Linked DNA regions of Macaca mulatta. The protein of the gene in region 1 binds, or shares a complex with, the protein of each later gene. Links are inferred from orthologs where the notes say so. Each region holds a gene or a part of one and is shown in the gene's direction. Other genes may lie near its edges. The genes, in order: PPARG, CREBBP, NRIP1, MED1 and NFKBIB.

Region 1 (4,201 bases):
TACACAACCGTAATCACTGCAGTCATTTGGACAAATTAGCAAACCCAAGTTTTGCTTTAACTTGGATTGCTTTAATAAAGATGTTTTGGGGCTTAATGGCACAGTTGCCCAACTCCCCACTTTATTCTGTGCTGTTCAGAGCCAGCCAGCATTTCCCCATCAAGCTCTTGCACCATGATTGACAGGGACACTTTTACTAGTCCCCTTGAAGAATGAATAGTTACTCAATGTAGATTAACCAGATATATATTTATTTTACTCAGGGAATATCAGGATAAATATAATTCAGAGAATTAATTGCCTTCTCATATACTGCCCTGTGTGGGGACATCTTTGAAAGTCCGCAAAGTCACTGTGATTCTAGTAGGCCACTCATGTGACAAGACCTGCTCCCACATCAGTAATTTGGCACAGCTAGTGTCTCTCCTTGCCAAAAAGGGCAAAGGCCTTGAGCAAGAAGCCAGCTTTTTCCTGATTACAAAACCGACCACAATTCCTCGCCAACCTAACAGCGTAAGTCTATTTTTTTCTGGTGATGTGTTACTCTTCTCACAGAGAACTCCATTTTTTCATTATGACATAGCACTTATCATTTAAACATCAATTGATGTTCAAACATCAGCTGATGTAACATTGCTGTAGTTGCTATTGATGGATAAGCTGAAGTTTTTAAGAAAGCAAACCCGATATTTAAATCGAAACCATATCAAACCCTTCTTCATTCTCTGAACTATTTAATTTTACAGAATTTGGATAGCAGTCAATATCATTTTGGGCTTCACAAATCAGCAGAACAAGTACCTTAGGAATATAACATTTCGGTAGCATGCTAATACCAACGTTTAAACTATGGATATGTATTTGAATTCCAAAATTTTCTTCAAATCACATGATTAGAGATTCAACCAGGAATAGACATTGAAAGAAAACTTTGCCCAAATAAGCTTTCTGGTATTTCATAAGCAAGAGATTTGAAGTTTTCCATTTAAGAAGGAATTGATGTGAATTTTACGACAGTTAAAAATGCAAGTGGATATTGAACAGTCTCTGCTCTGATAATTCTAAATACAGTATAGTTCACGCCCCTCACAAGACACTGAACATGTGGGTCACTGGCGAGACAGTGTGGCAATATTTTCCCTGTAATGTACCAAGTCTTGCCAAAGCAGTGAACAACATTATGACACAACTTTTTGTCACAGCTGGCTCCTAACAGGACAGTGCCAGCCAATTCAAGCCCAGTCCTTTCTGTGTTTATTCCCATCTCTCCCAAATATTTGGAAACTGATGTCTTGACTCATGGGTGTATTCACAAATTCTGTTACTTCAAGTCTTTTTCTTTTAACGGATTGATCTTTTGCTAGATATAAACAAAATATCAGTGTGAATTACAGCAAACCCCTATTCCATGCTGTTATGGGTGAAACTCTGGGAGATTCTCCTATTGACCCAGAAAGCGATTCCTTCACTGATACACTGTCTGCAAACATATCACAAGGTAAAGTTCCTTCCAGATATGGCTATTGGGGACGTGGGGGCATTTATGTAAGGGTAAAATTGCTCTTGTAGTTTGTCTTCCAAGTTATGTTTGTTTTAATACTATCATGTGTACACTCCAGTATTTTAATGCTTAGCTCGCTGCTATCGCATTCACTTAAAAACATATTCAGATCCTTAAAAAAGGAAACCTAACCTAATCTGTATTTTATCTCTGTGCATGGCTCCCATTTCCTGAATTTTAAGCACTAACGGTATAGTTATATCCAAAAACAATCCTGTTCATTTTTATTTCCTGAGTTTGCATAGATTTCCCAAGAATACATAAAGGCTTTTTAGACTTGAAGGGTCACTTTTTCCTCTTTTCATCTTGTATGTTAGAGATCTCTCATAATGGTTTTTTTCCCTCTTGCAGCGCTTTTGTTCCTCTTGAAGTACTCTCAGTTCTTTTCTGTTCTACTTTGAAATCTAGATACTGTGTGGGCACTTTAGCTCTCCCAAAGAATTGTAATTTACCAGAGTATGGGACCAAGTGATGCTCTTTATTAGATTTCTGAGGATGCCTCCTAGCATAGTGCCCAATACATTGCAGAATGGATTGTCGGAACCTTGAAAAAGATCTGTTCCAAGCATCATATTTTATGCATAAAGAAAATGAGGTTCCTCAAACAGTAAATGCCTATTGTAAGTGACTACCTATTACTTCTCTTCAGATGTGTCAGAATCAGATACCTCCTTTTCAATATTTCTTTCTTGGCCATTGCAAAATGTAATTTCTCCATTTCTACAGCTCCTTCTACTGGAGTTTCTTAGCACCGCTTTTTCTGTTTTGTTTTGTCTCATATTGATGTCTTTATTTCTATTCATTTTATTTTTCTCTTCTCAGATGCTATGTAAAAATAGATTGTTAACTAGTGTGATTCATGTTTTATAATATAGGTGCTAAAGCATTAAAATTAAGTCACTTAATTGCTGAAATAGATTTTAACCTTTTCGTTTTCCTGGAAGCCTGAAGTTTGAACATATTAGTCATCATTTTAAAAATATAAAGCTTTTTAAAAATTAGTAAGAAATGTTTCCTGAAATACTGTTTTATTTTATTACAGTAATTTGTTTCAACATGTATTTCTATCATCTAAGCCTCTTAACTAGGAGTTTTGTTTTTTTCCTTAAAGTGCTGTTATTCTGTTTTTCTGCAAGCCAAAAACATTGTTGCTATCTTTCTTCAGTTATTAATTTACCCTGCCTCAGGGCAGAATGTCCTGGCTATACTGTGAAATAGTTCTTGAGTCAAAATTTGATAGTTTTGTCTATTTTCAAAGAACATGTCTAGAATGCAGTACAACAAATATCAACAAAATAGGTTAACTGAGAGGCAAGTACTATTTGTGGTAAGGGATGGTTATGTGATTCAAGTTAGTTTTCATTCTGTGCTAATCTCTAACTTTATGCTTTGAATTTACCCTGAGTTTAATTTTTTTGAGTCTCAATTTCCTCTAAAAGAATGATCCAGTACTTTTCTTCCTAATTAACATGGTACAGAATGAAATTATTAGCAATTAAAACATGATATTTTGTACCAATAATTTAACCCTTTTCTTACAGGGTCTCTGGCTACTCCTTCTTCATAAGCACTGTTTCTCTGTTAAAAATGTGAGTTCCTAAAGGCCAAAGACCTATGATTGTTACTCCTACTGTAATTTGTAAATGACCTTTAAATAATTGCTCCACCTCTTCCAAAACAGACAGACTTACAAATAAATTAGATATATGATCATTATTAGCCGAGGCTAGCAGTGTTGAACACTGGGGAGATGAGGTATTTGGCCTGGGTACAGTAGTCCTCTTACGTGCTTCTTCCTGATCATAGGCAAAGTGAAATTGGGAGTGTTGCAAATAGTTGGGTACTGCTATTAAGAAAAAGTGGCACATTTCGTGTGAATGACCCAGATATCCAGGTATATTGGTTATATTCAAGAGATTAGGCCAGGCGCGGTGGCTCAAACCTGTAATCCCAGCACTTTGGGAGGCCGAGACGGGCAGATCACGAGGTCAGGAGATCGAGACCATCCTGGCTAACATGGTGAAACCCCGTCTCTACTAAAAAATACAAAAAACTAGCCGGGCGAGGTGGCGGGCGCCTGTAGTCCCAGCTACTCGGGAGGCTGAGGCAGGAGAATGGCGTAAACCCGGGAGGCGGAGCTTGCAGTGAGCCGAGATCCGGCCACTGCACTCCAGCCTGGGCGACAGAGCGAGACTCCGTCTCAAAAAAAAAAAAAAAAGAGAGATTAAAAATATCCACTACACTTTATGCCCAAAGAGGACTTCCATGCTTTTTCCAAGGCTCCATCGTTGCTGTAACCCCTTTATATTGCTCCCCTTTCTTTTTTTTATCAAGAGCTCCTCAAGCAACCCCAAGTAACCTCATGCTGGCTCTGAAACCATTTCCACCAGTAAAAATTGGCGAGATTGAAGGGAAGCTTCCACAAGCTCAAGCTGAATATGCCTCCTGCTTTGAGTGCCAGACTTAGTCCTGTGTGAATTCTACAATTTTAAGTTGTTGCACCAGAGCCTTGAAAGATGATGACACACTTGTCCTTTGGAGCTGATTGAGCAATGGAAATATGCCTTAGAGACATGATAAATGCTGCAATAGACAATCCGTCAAAATGAGTCTCTCCTGAGATAGGAGTGAGTGATTGAT
Region 2 (3,516 bases), on another chromosome or scaffold:
TCTGTATTGAAGTGACTTAATGAACACCAAGTACTTTATTTCTTCTTCTGAAAGAGAAGAGGAATCACAAATGCAACTCTGACTAGAGGAAGGTTTTAACAAACCCATCTTAGGCTTGTAAGAGCCTTCCAGTGAGGCTGAGGTAACATAAAGGTGTTTAATATTTGTGTGTTATCTATAATGTTTTTCTCAAGATGATGGAGGAGGATTTGCAAGGAGCTTCCCAAGTTAAAGAAGAAACAGACACAGCAGAGCAGAAATCAGAACCAATGGAAGTGGATGAAAAGAAACCTGAAGTGAAAGTAGAAGTTAAAGAGGAAGAAGAGAGTAGCACTAACGGCACAGCCTCTCAGTCAACATCTCCTTCGCAGCCACGCAAAAAAAGTAGGCTGTTTATTCATTACCTTATTAAACCATGCTGCTTTTCCACGGTGTTGGGATTCCACGTGGAGGATTAGAAGCTAAAGTAGAAACGTAATTCTATCTGCCCTTTTACCTTTCTTGCCTGCCATTCCACAGACTTTCCCTTGCAGAAACACTGAGGCTGAGCAGGACCCCAGCCCTGTGCCTGTGGGGCTCATGGTAGGAGTGAGAGATGAGCTATGACTCTGAGGCCACCCTGGCTGCAGAGCTGTCTTCTGAGATGATGCTGGCAGGGGCCAGGGTTGAAATGTGTCTGGGTCCTTGAGCAGGCTAAGGAGCTTGGCTTTACTCATAAAAGTGTAAAGAACCAGTGATGTATGTGAGTGGGAAAATAACCAAAAAAGCCATAATTTAAGGAAAATGATCATTATGACAGCACAGGGGTGAGCTGGAGGCAGTTTTCTGCTGGTGCAGTGAGGAAGCTGAGCATGCAGAGTGAGGGGCAGGGTGGTGCCTAGGGACCCCATGTAGGGAGACATGGGGAGGGGTAGGTTAGGCAGCTTTGGGGTCTGAGATGTGTGGGATAAGCCCGCCTCACAGTGGAAGTTGGATGGAATCCATTTGAGATGTATCCAAAGTAAAGAGATAACAGGGTATCAGAAAATTGTCAAGTGAACCTTAGAAATGGGAGTTGGGACTCAGAAAGTCCAAGGCTGCAGATGACACTTTTGGGAAAGATTGCAGAGAAATGTTAGAGACTGAGACCATGTTACTCTGCAGCTGGAAGGGGACCCTCGAGAGTGTGGAGTACAGTGAATCTTAGGGCTTTTTATGCTCTTAGAAATTGAGGGCCCCAGAGAGTTGTTGTTTGTGTGGATTACCTATCATTGCTTACTCTATTGGAAATTAAAATTGAGAAATTTGAGTACAGGGCTCACACCTGTAATCCCAGCACTTTGGGAGGCCTTGATGAGAGGTTTGCTTATGCCGGGATTTCAAAACCAGCCTGAGCAACATAGCAAGACTCCATCTCTACAAAACTAAAATAAAATTAGCTAAGTGTGGTGGTGCACGCTACAGCGGAAGCAGCAGGATCGCCTGAGCCTATAAGTTTGAGGCTACAGTGAGCCCAGATCACATCACTGCACTCTAGCCTAGGAGACAAAGTAAGATTGTTGTCTCAAAAAAAAGAGAAAAATTTTTAAATATTTAGTTCATTTAAAATAGTCTGTTGGCCGGGCGCGGTGGCTCAAGCCTGTAATCCCAGCACTTTGGGAGGCCGAGACGGGCGGATCACGAGTTCAGGAGATCGAGACCATCCTGGCTAACACGGTGAAACCCCGTCTCTACTAAAATACAAAAAAAAAAAAAATTAGCCGGGCGAGGTGGCGGGCGCCTGTACTCCCAGCTACTCGGGAGGCTGAGGCAGGAGAATGGCGTGAACCCGGGAGGCGGGGCTTGCAGTGAGCTGAGATCCGGCCACTGCACTCCAGCCTGGGCAACAGAGCTAGACTCCGTCTCAAAAAAAATAAATAAATAAAATAAAATAAAATAGTCTGTTACATGGCACCCATAGAAAACATTTATATGAAAAATAATTTTTCCAAAACAAAAATAAGAATAATGATGTTATTAAGGGCATCTGCCTCTGCATTTACTGTGTTGTGATTGGTTATTTTGGTTGAAGTGTGTGAAGAAAATCCTGTAGTTGGTAAAGGGAGAAGTATTTTCATAGCCTTTTCAGCTGATTGTGGTTAGTCTTTGATACTATACCAAAATTAAACCAGTGAAAGTTTCTTAAAGGTTAGTTACGACATTGAACCAGAATCTGTAGCACTGGATATTTCATACTCTATGACATTAGAATCCATTGATCCATCTTGTACTTGGAATGGATGGTTTGTGCTTGCATTATTTTTTTTTCAATTGACACTAAGTTCTGCAGATTTTCCATATGTTAACATATTTCACTATACCGTGTCAAAAAAAAATCACATTTGTTAATACCACCATCAGTCTCTTCAAACAAGTCTTAACAACTTTGAAAAGCAGGGCGTGCGTGGTGGCTCACGCCTGTAATCTCAGCATTTTGGGAGGCTGAGGGGGAAAGTTTGCTTGAGCCCAGGAATTCAGGGTCTATGATTGTACCACTGCACTCTAGCCTAGAGCTCAGGAGTTCAAGACCAGCCTAGGCAACATGGCGAAACCTAATCTCTATTAAAAAAAAAAAAAAAAAAAGCTGGGCATGGGTAGTGCATGCCTGTAGCTGCAGCTACTCAAGATGTTGAAGTGGGAGAATCACCTGAGCCTGGGAGGTCAAGGATGCAGTGAGCCATGATCATGCCGCTGTACTCCAGCCTGGGTGACAGAGTGAGGCCCTGTCTCAAAAAGTAATAGTAATAATAAATTTTGAGACGATTTCAAGCCCGTGTACAAGTTTTCCAAAACATTTGATTTTTTAATGAAAGTCCAGATTTTATCATTGGCAACAAATATTGTCAGTTGTCCTTGAAGTAACTGTCCCTCTTTGTTCATTTCTGAGAAAATGTCTGACATATAACTAGAGTTAGTAACTATAGCTTATCTCTCAGTCATTCTTGAAAGTTTTAAGGGGTCCATGAGGGCAAGCAGCTACTTCAGCTGTAAATTCTGACACGTGCACAAGTACTGCCTCCTAATGTGGCCACTGTGCATATGCAGCACACATCTTTTATTCTGTGTGATGAGATACACTGAATATTTCATCACACAGACTAAAAGACATGTACCAGGAGGCCAGGCGCAGTGGCTCAAGCCTGTAATCCCAGCATTTTGGGAGGCCGAGGCGGGCAGATCACGAGGTCAGGAGATCAAGACCATCCTGGCTAACACGGTAAAACCCCGTCTCTACTAAACAAAATATAAAAAATTAGCCAGGCATGGTGGCGGGCACTTGTAGTCCCAGCTACTCGGGAGACTGAAGCAGGAGAATGGCATGAACCCGGGAGGCAGAGCTTGCGGTGAGCCGAGATCGCGCCACTGCAGTCCAGCCTGGGCGACAGAGTGAGACTCCGTCTCAAAAAAAAAAAAAAAAAGATGTACCAAAGGCTGAGCTTTAATACAAGGAATACTTCTTACCACCTCGTCAAGAATATTTTTTCGGCCAGGTGTGGT
Region 3 (3,516 bases), on another chromosome or scaffold:
TAATGAAGAGGATCAGAACTTTAACATTTCTGGCAGTGCATTTCCCACCTGTCAAAGTAATGGTCCAGTTTTCAATACACATACATATCAGGGATCTGGCATGCTGCACCTCAAAAAAGCCAGACTGTTGCAGTCTTCTGAGGACTGGAATGCAGCAAAGCGGAAGAGGCTGTCTGATTCTATCGTAAATTTAAACGTAAAGAAGGAAGCTTTGCTAGCTGGCATGGTTGACAGTGTGCCTAAAGGCAAACAGGATAGCACATTACTGGCCTCTTTGCTTCAGTCATTCAGCTCTAGGCTGCAGACTGTTGCTCTGTCACAACAAATTAGGCAGAGCCTCAAGGAGCAAGGATATGCCCTCAGTCATGATTCTTTAAAAGTGGAGAAGGATTTAAGGTGCTATGGTGTTGCATCAAGTCACTTAAAAACTTTGTTGAAGAAAAGTAAAGTTAAAGATCAAAAGCCTGATACAAATCTTCCTGATGTGACTAAAAACCTCATCAGAGATAGGTTTGTAGAATCTCCTCATCACGTTGGACAAAGTGGAACAAAGGTCATGAGTGAACCGTTGTCATGTGCTGCAAGATTACAGGCTGTTGCAAGCATGGTAGAAAAAAGGGCTAGTCCTGCCACCTCACCTAAACCTAGTGTTGCTTGTAGCCAGTTAGCATTACTTCTGTCAAGCGAAGCCCATTTGCAGCAGTATTCTCGAGAACATGCTTTAAAAACACAAAATGCAAATCAAGCAGCAAGTGAAAGACTTGCTGCTATGGCCAGATTGCAAGAAAATGGCCAGAAGGATGTTGGCAGTTTCCAGCTCTCCAAAGCCATGTCAAGCCATCTTAATGGTCAGGCTAGAACATCATCAAGCAAACTGATGGCTAGCAAAAGTAGTGCTACAACGTTTCAAAATCCAATGGGTATCATTCCTTCTTCCCCTAAAAATGCAGGTTATAAGAACTCACTGGAAAGAAACAATATCAAACAAGCTGCTAACAATAGTTTGCTTTTACATCTTCTTAAAAGCCAGACTATACCTAAGCCAATGAATGGACACAGTCACAGTGAGAGAGGAAGCATTTTTGAGGAAAGTAGTACACCTACAACTATTGATGAATATTCAGATAACAATCCTAGTTTTACAGATGACAGCAGTGGTGATGAAAGTTCTTACTCCAGCTGTGTTCCCATAGACTTGTCTTGCAAACACCGAACTGAAAAATCCGAATCTGACCAGCCTGTTTCCCTGGATAACTTTACTCAATCCTTGCTAAACACTTGGGATCCAAAAGTCCCAGACGTAGATATCAAAGAAGATCAAGATACCTCAAAGAATTCTAAGCTAAACTCACACCAGAAAGTAACACTTCTTCAATTGCTACTTGGCCATAAGAATGAAGAAAATGTAGAAAAAAACACCAGCCCTCAGGGAGTACACAATGATGTGACCAAGTTCAGTACACAAAATTATGCAAGGACTTCTGTGATAGAAAGCCCCAGTACAAATCGGACTACGCCAGTGAGCACTCCACCATTACTTACGTCAGCCAAAGCAGAGTCTCCCATCAATCTCTCTCAACACTCTCTGGTCATCAAATGGAATTCCCCACCGTATGCCTGCAGTACTCAGTCTGAAAAGACTGCATCTAACCACTCAATGGACCTTACAAAAAGCAAAGACACGCCAGGAGAGAAACCAGCCCAAAACGAAGGTGCACAAAACTCTGCAACTTTCAGTGCCAGTAAGCTGTTACAAAATTTAGCACAATGTGGCCTGCAGTCTTCCATGTCAGTGGAAGAGCAGAGACCCAGCAAACAGCTGTTAACTGTAAACACAGATAAACCGATAGGTGTGATTGATAGATTAAATAGCCCTTTGCTCTCAAATAAAACGAATGCAGCTGAAGAAAGTCAAGCATTTAGTAGTCAACCAACAGGTCCTGAACCGGGGCTTTCCGGTTCTGAAATAGAAAATCTGCTTGAAAGACGTACCGTCCTCCAGTTGCTCCTGGGAAACCCCAACAAAGGCAAAAATGAAAAGAAAGAGAAAACTCCCTTAAGAGATGAAAGTACTCAGGAACACTCAGAGAGAGCTTTAAGTGAACAAATATTGATGGTGAAAATAAAATCTGAGCCTTGTGATGACTTACAAATTCCTAATACAAATGTGCACTTGAGCCATGATGCCAAGAGTGCTCCATTCTTGGGTATGGCTCCTGCTGTGCAGAGAAGCGCACCTGCCTTACCAGTGTCCGAAGACTTTAAATCGGAGCCTGTTTCACCTCAGGATTTTTCTTTCTCAAAGAATGGTCTCTTAAGTCGATTGCTAAGACAAAATCCAGATAGTTACCTGGCAGATGATTCAGACAAGAGTCACAGAAGTAATGAAATGGCACTTCTAGAATCAAAGAATCTGTGCATGGTCCCTAAGAAAAGGAAGCTTTATACTGAGCCATTAGAAAATCCATTTAAAAAGATGAAAAACAACGTTGTCGATGCTGCGAACAATCACAGTGCCCCAGAAGTACTGTATGGGTCCTTGCTTAACCAGGAAGAGCTGAAATTTAGCAGAAATGATCTTGAGTTTAAATATCCTGCTGGTCATGGCTCAGCCAGCGAAAGTGAACACAGGAGTTGGGCCAGAGAGAGCAAAAGCTTCAATGTTCTGAAACAGCTGCTTCTCTCAGAAAACTGTGTGCGAGATTTGTCCCCGCACAGAAGTAACTCTGTTGCTGACAGTAAAAAGAAAGGACACAAAAATAATGTGACCAACAGCAAACCTGAATTTAGCATTTCTTCTTTAAATGGACTGATGTACAGCCCCACTCAGCCCAGCAGTTGCATGGATAACAGGACATTTTCATACCCAGGAGTAGTAAAAACTCCTGTGAGTCCTACTTTCCCTGAGCACTTGGGCTGTGCAGGGTCTAGACCAGAATCTGGGCTTTTGAATGGGTGTTCCATGCCCAGTGAGAAAGGACCCATTAAGTGGGTTATCACTGATGTGGAGAAGAATGAATACGAAAAAGACTCTCCGAGACTGACCAAAACCAACCCCATACTGTATTATATGCTGCAGAAAGGAGGCAATTCTGTTACCAGTCGAGAAACACAAGACAAGGACATTTGGAGGGAGCCTTCATCTGCTGAAAGTGTCTCACAGGTCACAATCAAAGAAGAGTTACTTCCTACTGCAGAAACGAGAGCTGCTTTCTTTAACTTAAGAAGCCCTTACAATAGCCATATGGGAAATAATGCTTCTCGCCCACACAGTGCAAACGGAGAAGTTTATGGACTTCTGGGAAACGTGCTAACAATAAAAAAAGAATCAGAATAAAATGTACCTGCCATCCAGTTTGGGATCTTTTTAAAACATAATGAGTATGAACTTGAGATCTGTATAAATAAGAGCATGATTTGAGAAAAGCATGGTATAATTGAAACTTTTTTCATTTTGAAAAGTATTGGTTACTGGTGATGTTTAAATATGCATACTAATTTTTGCTTAACATTAGA
Region 4 (2,538 bases), on another chromosome or scaffold:
ACACATCACTCCAGCTCCAAGCCAGTGTAGCACTCCCCCAACAACTTACCCACAACCAGTACCTCACCCCCAACCCAGTATTCAAAGGATGGTCCGACTATCCAGTTCAGACAGCATTGGCCCAGATGTAACTGACATCCTTTCAGACATTGCAGAAGAAGCTTCTAAACTTCCCAGCACTAGTGATGATTGCCCAGCTATTGGCACCCCTCTTCGAGATTCTTCAAGCTCTGGGCATTCTCAGAGTACCCTCTTTGACTCTGATGTCTTTCAAACTAACAATAATGAAAATCCATACACTGATCCAGCTGATCTTATTGCAGATGCTGCTGGAAGCCCCAGTAGTGACTCTCCTACCAATCATTTTTTTCATGATGGAGTAGATTTCAATCCTGATTTATTGAACAGCCAGAGCCAAAGTGGTTTTGGAGAAGAATATTTTGATGAAAGCAGCCAAAGTGGGGATAATGATGATTTCAAAGGATTTGCATCTCAGGCACTAAATACTTTGGGGGTGCCAATGCTTGGAGGTGATAATGGGGAGACCAAGTTTAAGGCCAATAACCAAGCTGACACAGTTGATTTCAGTATTATATCAGTAGCCGGCAAAGCTTTAGGTCCTGCAGATCTTATGGAGCATCACAGTGGTAGTCAGGGACCTTTAATGACCACTGGGGACTTAGGGAAAGAAAAGACTCAAAAGAGGGTAAAGGAAGGCAATGGCACCAGTAATAGTACTCTCGCGGGGCCAGGATTAGACAGCAAACCAGGGAAACGCAGTCGGACCCCTTCTAATGATGGGAAAAGCAAAGATAAGCCTCCAAAGAGGAAGAAAGCAGACACTGAGGGAAAGTCTCCATCTCATAGTTCTTCTAACCGACCTTTTACCCCACCTACCAGTACAGGTGGATCTAAATCTCCAGGCAGTTCAGGAAGATCTCAGACTCCCCCAGGTGTTGCCACACCACCCATTCCCAAAATCACTATTCAGATTCCTAAGGGAACAGTGATGGTGGGCAAGCCTTCCTCTCACAGTCAGTATACCAGCAGTGGTTCTGTGTCTTCCTCAGGCAGCAAAAGCCACCATAGCCATTCTTCCTCTTCTTCCTCATCTTCTGCTTCCACCTCAGGGAAGATGAAAAGCAGTAAATCAGAAGGCTCATCAAGTTCCAAGTTAAGCAGCAGTATGTATGCTAGCCAGGGGTCTTCTGGATCTAGCCAGTCCAAAAATTCATCCCAGTCTGGGGGGAAGCCAGGCTCCTCTCCCATTACCAAGCATGGACTGAGCAGTGGCTCTAGCAGCACCAAGATGAAACCTCAAGGAAAGCCATCATCACTTATGAATCCTTCTTTAAGTAAACCAAACATATCCCCTTCTCATTCAAGGCCACCTGGAGGCTCTGACAAGCTTGCCTCTCCAATGAAGCCTGTTCCTGGAACTCCTCCATCCTCTAAAGCCAAGTCCCCTATCAGTTCAGGTTCTGGTGGTTCTCATATGTCTGGAACTAGTTCAAGCTCTGGCATGAAGTCATCTTCAGGGTTAGGATCCTCAGGCTCGTTGTCCCAGAAAACTCCCCCATCATCTAATTCTTGTACAGCATCTTCCTCCTCCTTTTCCTCAAGTGGCTCTTCCATGTCATCCTCTCAAAACCAGCATGGGAGTTCCAAAGGAAAATCTCCCAGCAGAAATAAGAAGCCGTCCTTGACAGCTGTCATAGATAAACTGAAGCATGGGGTTGTCACCAGTGGCCCTGGGGGTGAAGACCCACTGGACGGCCAGATGGGGGTGAGCACAAATTCTTCCAGCCATCCTATGTCCTCTAAACATAACATGTCAGGAGGAGAGTTTCAGGGCAAGCGTGAGAAAAGTGATAAAGACAAATCAAAGGTTTCCACCTCTGGGAGTTCAGTGGATTCTTCTAAGAAGACCTCAGAGTCAAAAAATGTGGGGAGCACAGGTGTGGCAAAAATTATCATCAGTAAGCATGATGGAGGCTCCCCCAGCATTAAAGCCAAAGTGACTTTGCAGAAACCTGGGGAAAGTAGTGGAGAAGGGCTTAGGCCTCAGATGGCTTCTTCTAAAAACTATGGCTCTCCACTCATCAGTGGTTCCACTCCAAAGCATGAGCGTGGCTCTCCTAGCCATAGTAAGTCACCAGCATATACCCCCCAGAATCTGGACAGTGAAAGTGAGTCAGGCTCCTCCATAGCAGAGAAATCTTATCAGAATAGTCCCAGCTCAGATGATGGTATCCGACCACTTCCTGAATACAGCACAGAGAAACATAAGAAGCACAAAAAGGAAAAGAAGAAAGTAAAAGACAAAGATAGGGACCGAGACCGGGACAAAGACCGAGACAAGAAAAAATCTCATAGCATCAAGCCAGAGAGTTGGTCCAAATCACCCATCTCTTCAGACCAGTCCTTGTCTATGACAAGTAACACAATCTTATCTGCAGATAGACCCTCAAGGCTCAGCCCAGACTTTATGATTGGGGAGGAAGATGATGATCTTATGGATGTGGCCCTGATTGGGAA
Region 5 (4,111 bases), on another chromosome or scaffold:
AGAAAGTAGGGGCTTTTGCCCAGGCTGATCTTGAACTCCTGGGCTCAAGCGATCCAACCACCTTGGCCTCTCAAAGTACTGGGGTTACAAGCATGAGCCATTGTGTCTGGCCCTGACTTACTTTCTTTCTTTTTTACTTTTTAGAGAAAGGGTCTCGCTCATGTCACCCAGGCTGGAGTGCAATGGTGCGATCATAGCTCACTGCAGCCTCAAACTCCTGGGCTCAAGCGATCCTCCTCCTCCTACCTAAGGGATTCAGGGCATGAAGGAACACTCAGGAGGAGTTAGGAAGGACACGACAGTGTGTCAGTGTGTGTGCGGGAAGGGTTAGATTTACAAGGCAGAGGGAAGTTTAGAAAGGAAGAGAGAAGGGAAGGGACGCTTTGGCTGGGAGGCAGGTTTAGGAGGGAGGTGCAGTGGTGCAGTGGAGGCGGTAGGTTTAGGAGAGGCGCGGAACAAGGGGAAGCCATAGAAGGGGACAGCAGGGGTCCCTCAGCATCCTCTGGTTGCCTCTAACAATCAGGTACCCTTAGCAGCCGGGACCGGGGCAACTTATGTTCTTTGCAGCGAGGGTCCTTAGCAACCAAGGTGTGAGAAACACGCGATCATTGGCAACTTGGCAAGTGGATGTGGTAAACGAACCCTGAACACCCTGCGACCCAGAAACCCACCAGCCTGGCGATATAGATCGCTTAGCAACAACCCTCAGAACCCCACTCCCCGAGGCGCTCCCTACTTCCCGCCCCACTGCGGCCGCCCTTGGGCCCCGGGGCCTGCAGCCTTCAATCAGGCCCCGGCGCGGCCCGACCCTCCCACCCGGATTCCCGACTCACGGTCCGGCTCTGCCATGGGCGCGGTGCTGAAGCCCTCGAGGCTGTCACCGACCGCTCTGTCCCGTCACCGACCACTGTGTCCCGTCACCGACGGCTCTGTCCTGTCACCGACTGCTCTGTCCCGTGACGGCACCAGAAATGGGAGTGGCCGGGATAGGGCACTGAACTACAACTCCCAGCAGACATTGCGGCCGCAGACGCGCTTTCCTACGACACCCGGAGCGCCCCAGTTAGGTAAGAAAGCGCGCGAGGACCGGACTACGAGTCCCAGAAGTCATGGCGTCAGCAGCCATGTTGGTAAAGGGCGCCCGGAAAATGTGGGAACGGCTAGAGAGTCGTAGTCCTCTCGAATACTCTGATTGGTCAGCATGCGGCACGGGGGCGGGGTGTGAGCGATTCAGCATATTATCATTGGATGAATCAGGGGGCGTGGTGGGGAATTTCCCGCAGGGCGGAAGCGCCAGAACTCCCGGCAAAGCCCAGCTACAGGCGGGCCACTGCGAGGGGCCCCTGAGGTGGCGGGGGCCATGGCTGGGGTCGCGTGCTTGGGAAAAGCTGCCGACGCAGATGAATGGTGCGACAGCGGCCTCGGCTCCCTGGGTCCGGACGCAGCGGCCCCCGGAGGACCGGGATTGGGCGCGGAGCTGGGCCCGGGGCTGTCGTGGGCTCCCCTCGTCTTCGGCTACGTCACTGAGGATGGGGACACGTGAGTGAACTTTAGGCTGCCAAACGGAGCCTTAGGACCCGGCATCTGATTCCCCATTAGTGTCTGATCCCTGAGGCTTCCTAACCTCACACTCCTAAATCTGACTTCCGATGCTGAACTTCCTGACCTCTAACCCCCGAGTCCTAACTTTTAACAAAACCAATCTTCTTTCCAGCTATGATCCTCACCCAATCATTTCTGACCTTTTCCTGAACTATGATTCTCAGCTCCTGGAATCCACGTTGTATCCACTGATACCCAAACCTGACTCCAGTCCTGAGACTTTTGTTAGAACTGTGGCTTCTCCTGACTTCTAACCTCCAAATATGATCTTTGATTCTTAGTTCCTGATTTGAGCCTTAAAGTTTGATTTCCAAAATTAATGCTTGGTCCCTTACTCTAAGATCCTGTCATCTGAGCAGTGTTCTTCAAATCTTAAATTCAAAGAGAGAGAATGTAAGCTCTTCTATGTTGAATTCCTAATTAAAGTAAAAAAAAAAAAAAAAGGAAAATAGAAAAAAAGAATGTAAGCTCCACGAGACCAAGGATCCATCTGTTAAACAAATATTCTTTACACAGTACAACATTCCAGGCTCCGTTTTAGGTGCTAGTGATAAAGGCAGTGGAGAAAACAGACAAAAACTTAAGCGCTTGTGGAGCATACATTTTAGTGGAACTAAATAAACAGATAAGACCGCAAGGAAGGAAAGAAACAGAAAGACAGGAAGAAACAAAGAAAGACACGCAGAAAGAAAGAAACATAGAAAGTAAGAGAAGGAAATAAAGTCAGAGGTAGTAAGTACTTTGGAGAAAAATAAAGCAGGAAAATGAGGCAATAGATAAACAGGATAAGAGCATTTCAGGGAGAAGGAACTGCAGTTGCAAAGCCCAGATGAGGGACTGTACTGGGTTTTTTGTCTGTTGTGTTTTCTGCTGTATGCCCAGTGATGCAAGCAGTGCCTGACCCAGGAGGCACTGAAGAAATATTTATCTTTTCAAAGAACCAGCTTTATAATCTTGTTAATTTTCATTACATTTCATTACTTAATTTTGGTTTCTTTTTTTTTTTTTTTTTTTTTTACTTTTTATATAATTAGTCTCTGTCCTGGCTTTTTTTTTGAGACAGAGTCTCGCTCTGTCGCCCAGGCTGGAGTGCAGTGGCCGGATCTCAGCTCACTGCAAGCTCCGCCTGCCGGGTTTAAGCCATTCTCCTGCCTCAGCCTCCCGAGTAGCTGGGACTACAGGTGCCCGCCACCTCGCCTGGCTAGTTTTTTTTTTTTTTAGTAGAGACAGGGTTTCACTGTGTTAGCCAGGATGGTTTCGATCTCCTGACCTCGTGATCCGCCATCTCGGCCTCCCAAAGTGCTGGGATTACAGGCTTGAGCCACCGCGCCCGGCCGGTTTTTTTGTTTTGTTTTGTTTTGTTTTTTGAAATGGAGTTTCACTCTGTCGCCCAGGCTGGAGTGCAGTGGCACCATGTTGACTCACTGCAACCTCCATCTCCTGGGTTCAAGCAATTCTCCTGCCTCAACCTCCCCAGTAGCTGGGATTACAGGTGCCCACCACCATGCCTGGCTAATTTTTGTGTTTTTAGTAGAGATGGGGTTTCACCATGTTGGCCAGGCTGGTCTCAAACTCCTGACCCCGTGATCTGCCTGCCTCAGCCTCCCAAAGTGCTGGGATTGCAGGCATGAGCCACCATGCCAGGCTGTTCTGACTTTTATTATGTTCATTCTTCTGCTTACTTTGGCTTTAATTTGTTCTTCTTTTTGTAGTTTCTTAAGGTGAAAGTTGAGATCATTGATTTGAGACCTTTCTTTTTTCCTCTTTTCCAGTATAGGTATTGAGTGCTATAAATTTGCTCCTGACTATTGTTTAGCAATATTGTTTTAGCAATATCTCTCAAATTCTGGTATGTTGTGTTTTTATTTTCATTTAATTCAGTATGCTTTATTATTTTTTTGAGTTGGAGTCCACTCTGTTCCCCAGGCTGGAGTGCAGTGGCACAGTTTCCGTTCACTGCAACCTTGTCCTCCTGGGTTCAAGTGATTCTCTTGCCTCAGCCTCCCGAGTAGTTGGGATTACAGGGGGGTGCCACCACCCCCGGATAAGTTTTGTAATTTTTTTGGTAGAGACAGGGTTTCACCATGTTGGCCAGGCTGGTCTCAAACTCCTTACCTCAAATGATCTGCCCACCTTGGCCTCCCAAAGTGCTGGGATTACAGGCATGAGCCACCACACCCGGCCTAATTCAGTATTTTTTTTCTTTTTCTTTTTTTTTTGAGACTGGAGTCTTGCTCTGTCACCAAAGCTGTAGTACAGTGGAATGATCTCAGCTTGCTGCAACCTCTGCCTCCCAGGTTCAAGCAATTCTCATGTTTCAGCCTTCCGCGTAGCAGGGATTACAGGCATGCACCACCACATCCGGCTAATTTTTGTGCTTTTAGCAGAGATGGGATTTCACCATGTTGGCCAGGCTGGTCTGGAACTCCTGACTTAAAGTGATCCACCCACCTCGGCCTCCCAACGTGGTGGGATTACAGGTGTGAGCCACCACACCCGGCCTAAAAAT

Evidence for each region.
Region 2: the proteins of PPARG (region 1) and CREBBP are in contact, whole or in part, in a crystal structure (PDB 7RLE), measured with the Homo sapiens proteins. The link is inferred for Macaca mulatta from reciprocal best matches to the Homo sapiens genes PPARG and CREBBP. Residues at the interface, in NP_056953.2 of Homo sapiens: Val321, Gln322, Thr325, Glu326, Lys329, Phe334, Val335, Leu339, Asn340, Gln342, Val343, Thr344, Leu346, Lys347, Leu496, Glu499, Ile500, Lys502; in NP_004371.2 of Homo sapiens: Asp62, Ala63, Ala64, Lys66, His67, Lys68, Gln69, Leu70, Ser71, Leu73, Leu74, Arg75.
Region 3: the proteins of PPARG (region 1) and NRIP1 are in contact, whole or in part, in a crystal structure (PDB 9CWN), measured with the Homo sapiens proteins. The link is inferred for Macaca mulatta from reciprocal best matches to the Homo sapiens genes PPARG and NRIP1. Residues at the interface, in NP_056953.2 of Homo sapiens: Val321, Gln322, Thr325, Lys329, Phe334, Leu339, Gln342, Val343, Leu346, Lys347, Pro495, Leu496, Glu499, Ile500, Lys502; in NP_001426204.1 of Homo sapiens: Ser130, Thr131, Leu132, Leu133, Ala134, Leu136, Leu137, Ser139.
Region 4: the proteins of PPARG (region 1) and MED1 are in contact, whole or in part, in a crystal structure (PDB 6ONJ), measured with the Homo sapiens proteins. The link is inferred for Macaca mulatta from reciprocal best matches to the Homo sapiens genes PPARG and MED1. Residues at the interface, in NP_056953.2 of Homo sapiens: Val321, Gln322, Thr325, Glu326, Lys329, Phe334, Leu339, Asn340, Asp341, Gln342, Val343, Thr344, Leu346, Lys347, Gly427, Leu429, His494, Pro495, Leu496, Glu499, Ile500, Lys502; in NP_004765.2 of Homo sapiens: Asn638, Thr639, Asn641, His642, Pro643, Met644, Leu645, Met646, Leu648, Leu649, Lys650, Asp651.
Region 5: the proteins of PPARG (region 1) and NFKBIB are in contact, whole or in part, in a crystal structure (PDB 9CK0), measured with the Homo sapiens proteins. The link is inferred for Macaca mulatta from reciprocal best matches to the Homo sapiens genes PPARG and NFKBIB. Residues at the interface, in NP_056953.2 of Homo sapiens: Gln322, Thr325, Lys329, Phe334, Leu339, Gln342, Val343, Leu346, Lys347, Leu496, Glu499, Ile500; in NP_002494.2 of Homo sapiens: Asn286, Pro287, Ile288, Leu289, Ala290, Leu292, Leu293, Arg294, Ala295.

What each region holds. Positions count from the first base shown.
Region 1 is NC_133407.1:151,165,099-151,169,299, forward strand, and holds the start of PPARG (peroxisome proliferator-activated receptor gamma), read left to right. Parts: upstream 1-1,392; 5' UTR 1,393-1,416; coding exon 1,417-1,498; intron 1,499-4,201. UniProt on the Homo sapiens protein: Nuclear receptor that binds peroxisome proliferators such as hypolipidemic drugs and fatty acids.
Region 2 is NC_133425.1:4,988,590-4,992,105, reverse strand, and holds part of CREBBP (CREB-binding protein), read left to right. Parts: intron 1-194; coding exon 195-384; intron 385-3,516. UniProt on the Homo sapiens protein: Acetylates histones, giving a specific tag for transcriptional activation. Mediates acetylation of histone H3 at 'Lys-18' and 'Lys-27' (H3K18ac and H3K27ac, respectively).
Region 3 is NC_133408.1:32,765,211-32,768,726, forward strand, and holds part of NRIP1 (nuclear receptor-interacting protein 1), read left to right. Parts: coding exon 1-3,337; 3' UTR 3,338-3,516. UniProt on the Homo sapiens protein: Modulates transcriptional activation by steroid receptors such as NR3C1, NR3C2 and ESR1. Also modulates transcriptional repression by nuclear hormone receptors.
Region 4 is NC_133421.1:63,743,817-63,746,354, reverse strand, and holds part of MED1 (mediator of RNA polymerase II transcription subunit 1), read left to right. Parts: coding exon 1-2,538. UniProt on the Homo sapiens protein: Component of the Mediator complex, a coactivator involved in the regulated transcription of nearly all RNA polymerase II-dependent genes.
Region 5 is NC_133424.1:49,994,380-49,998,490, forward strand, and holds the start of NFKBIB (NF-kappa-B inhibitor beta), read left to right. Parts: upstream 1-1,311; 5' UTR 1,312-1,360; coding exon 1,361-1,539; intron 1,540-4,111. Other genes in the region: SIRT2 (NAD-dependent protein deacetylase sirtuin-2), read right to left, coding at 834-849. UniProt on the Homo sapiens protein: Inhibits NF-kappa-B by complexing with and trapping it in the cytoplasm.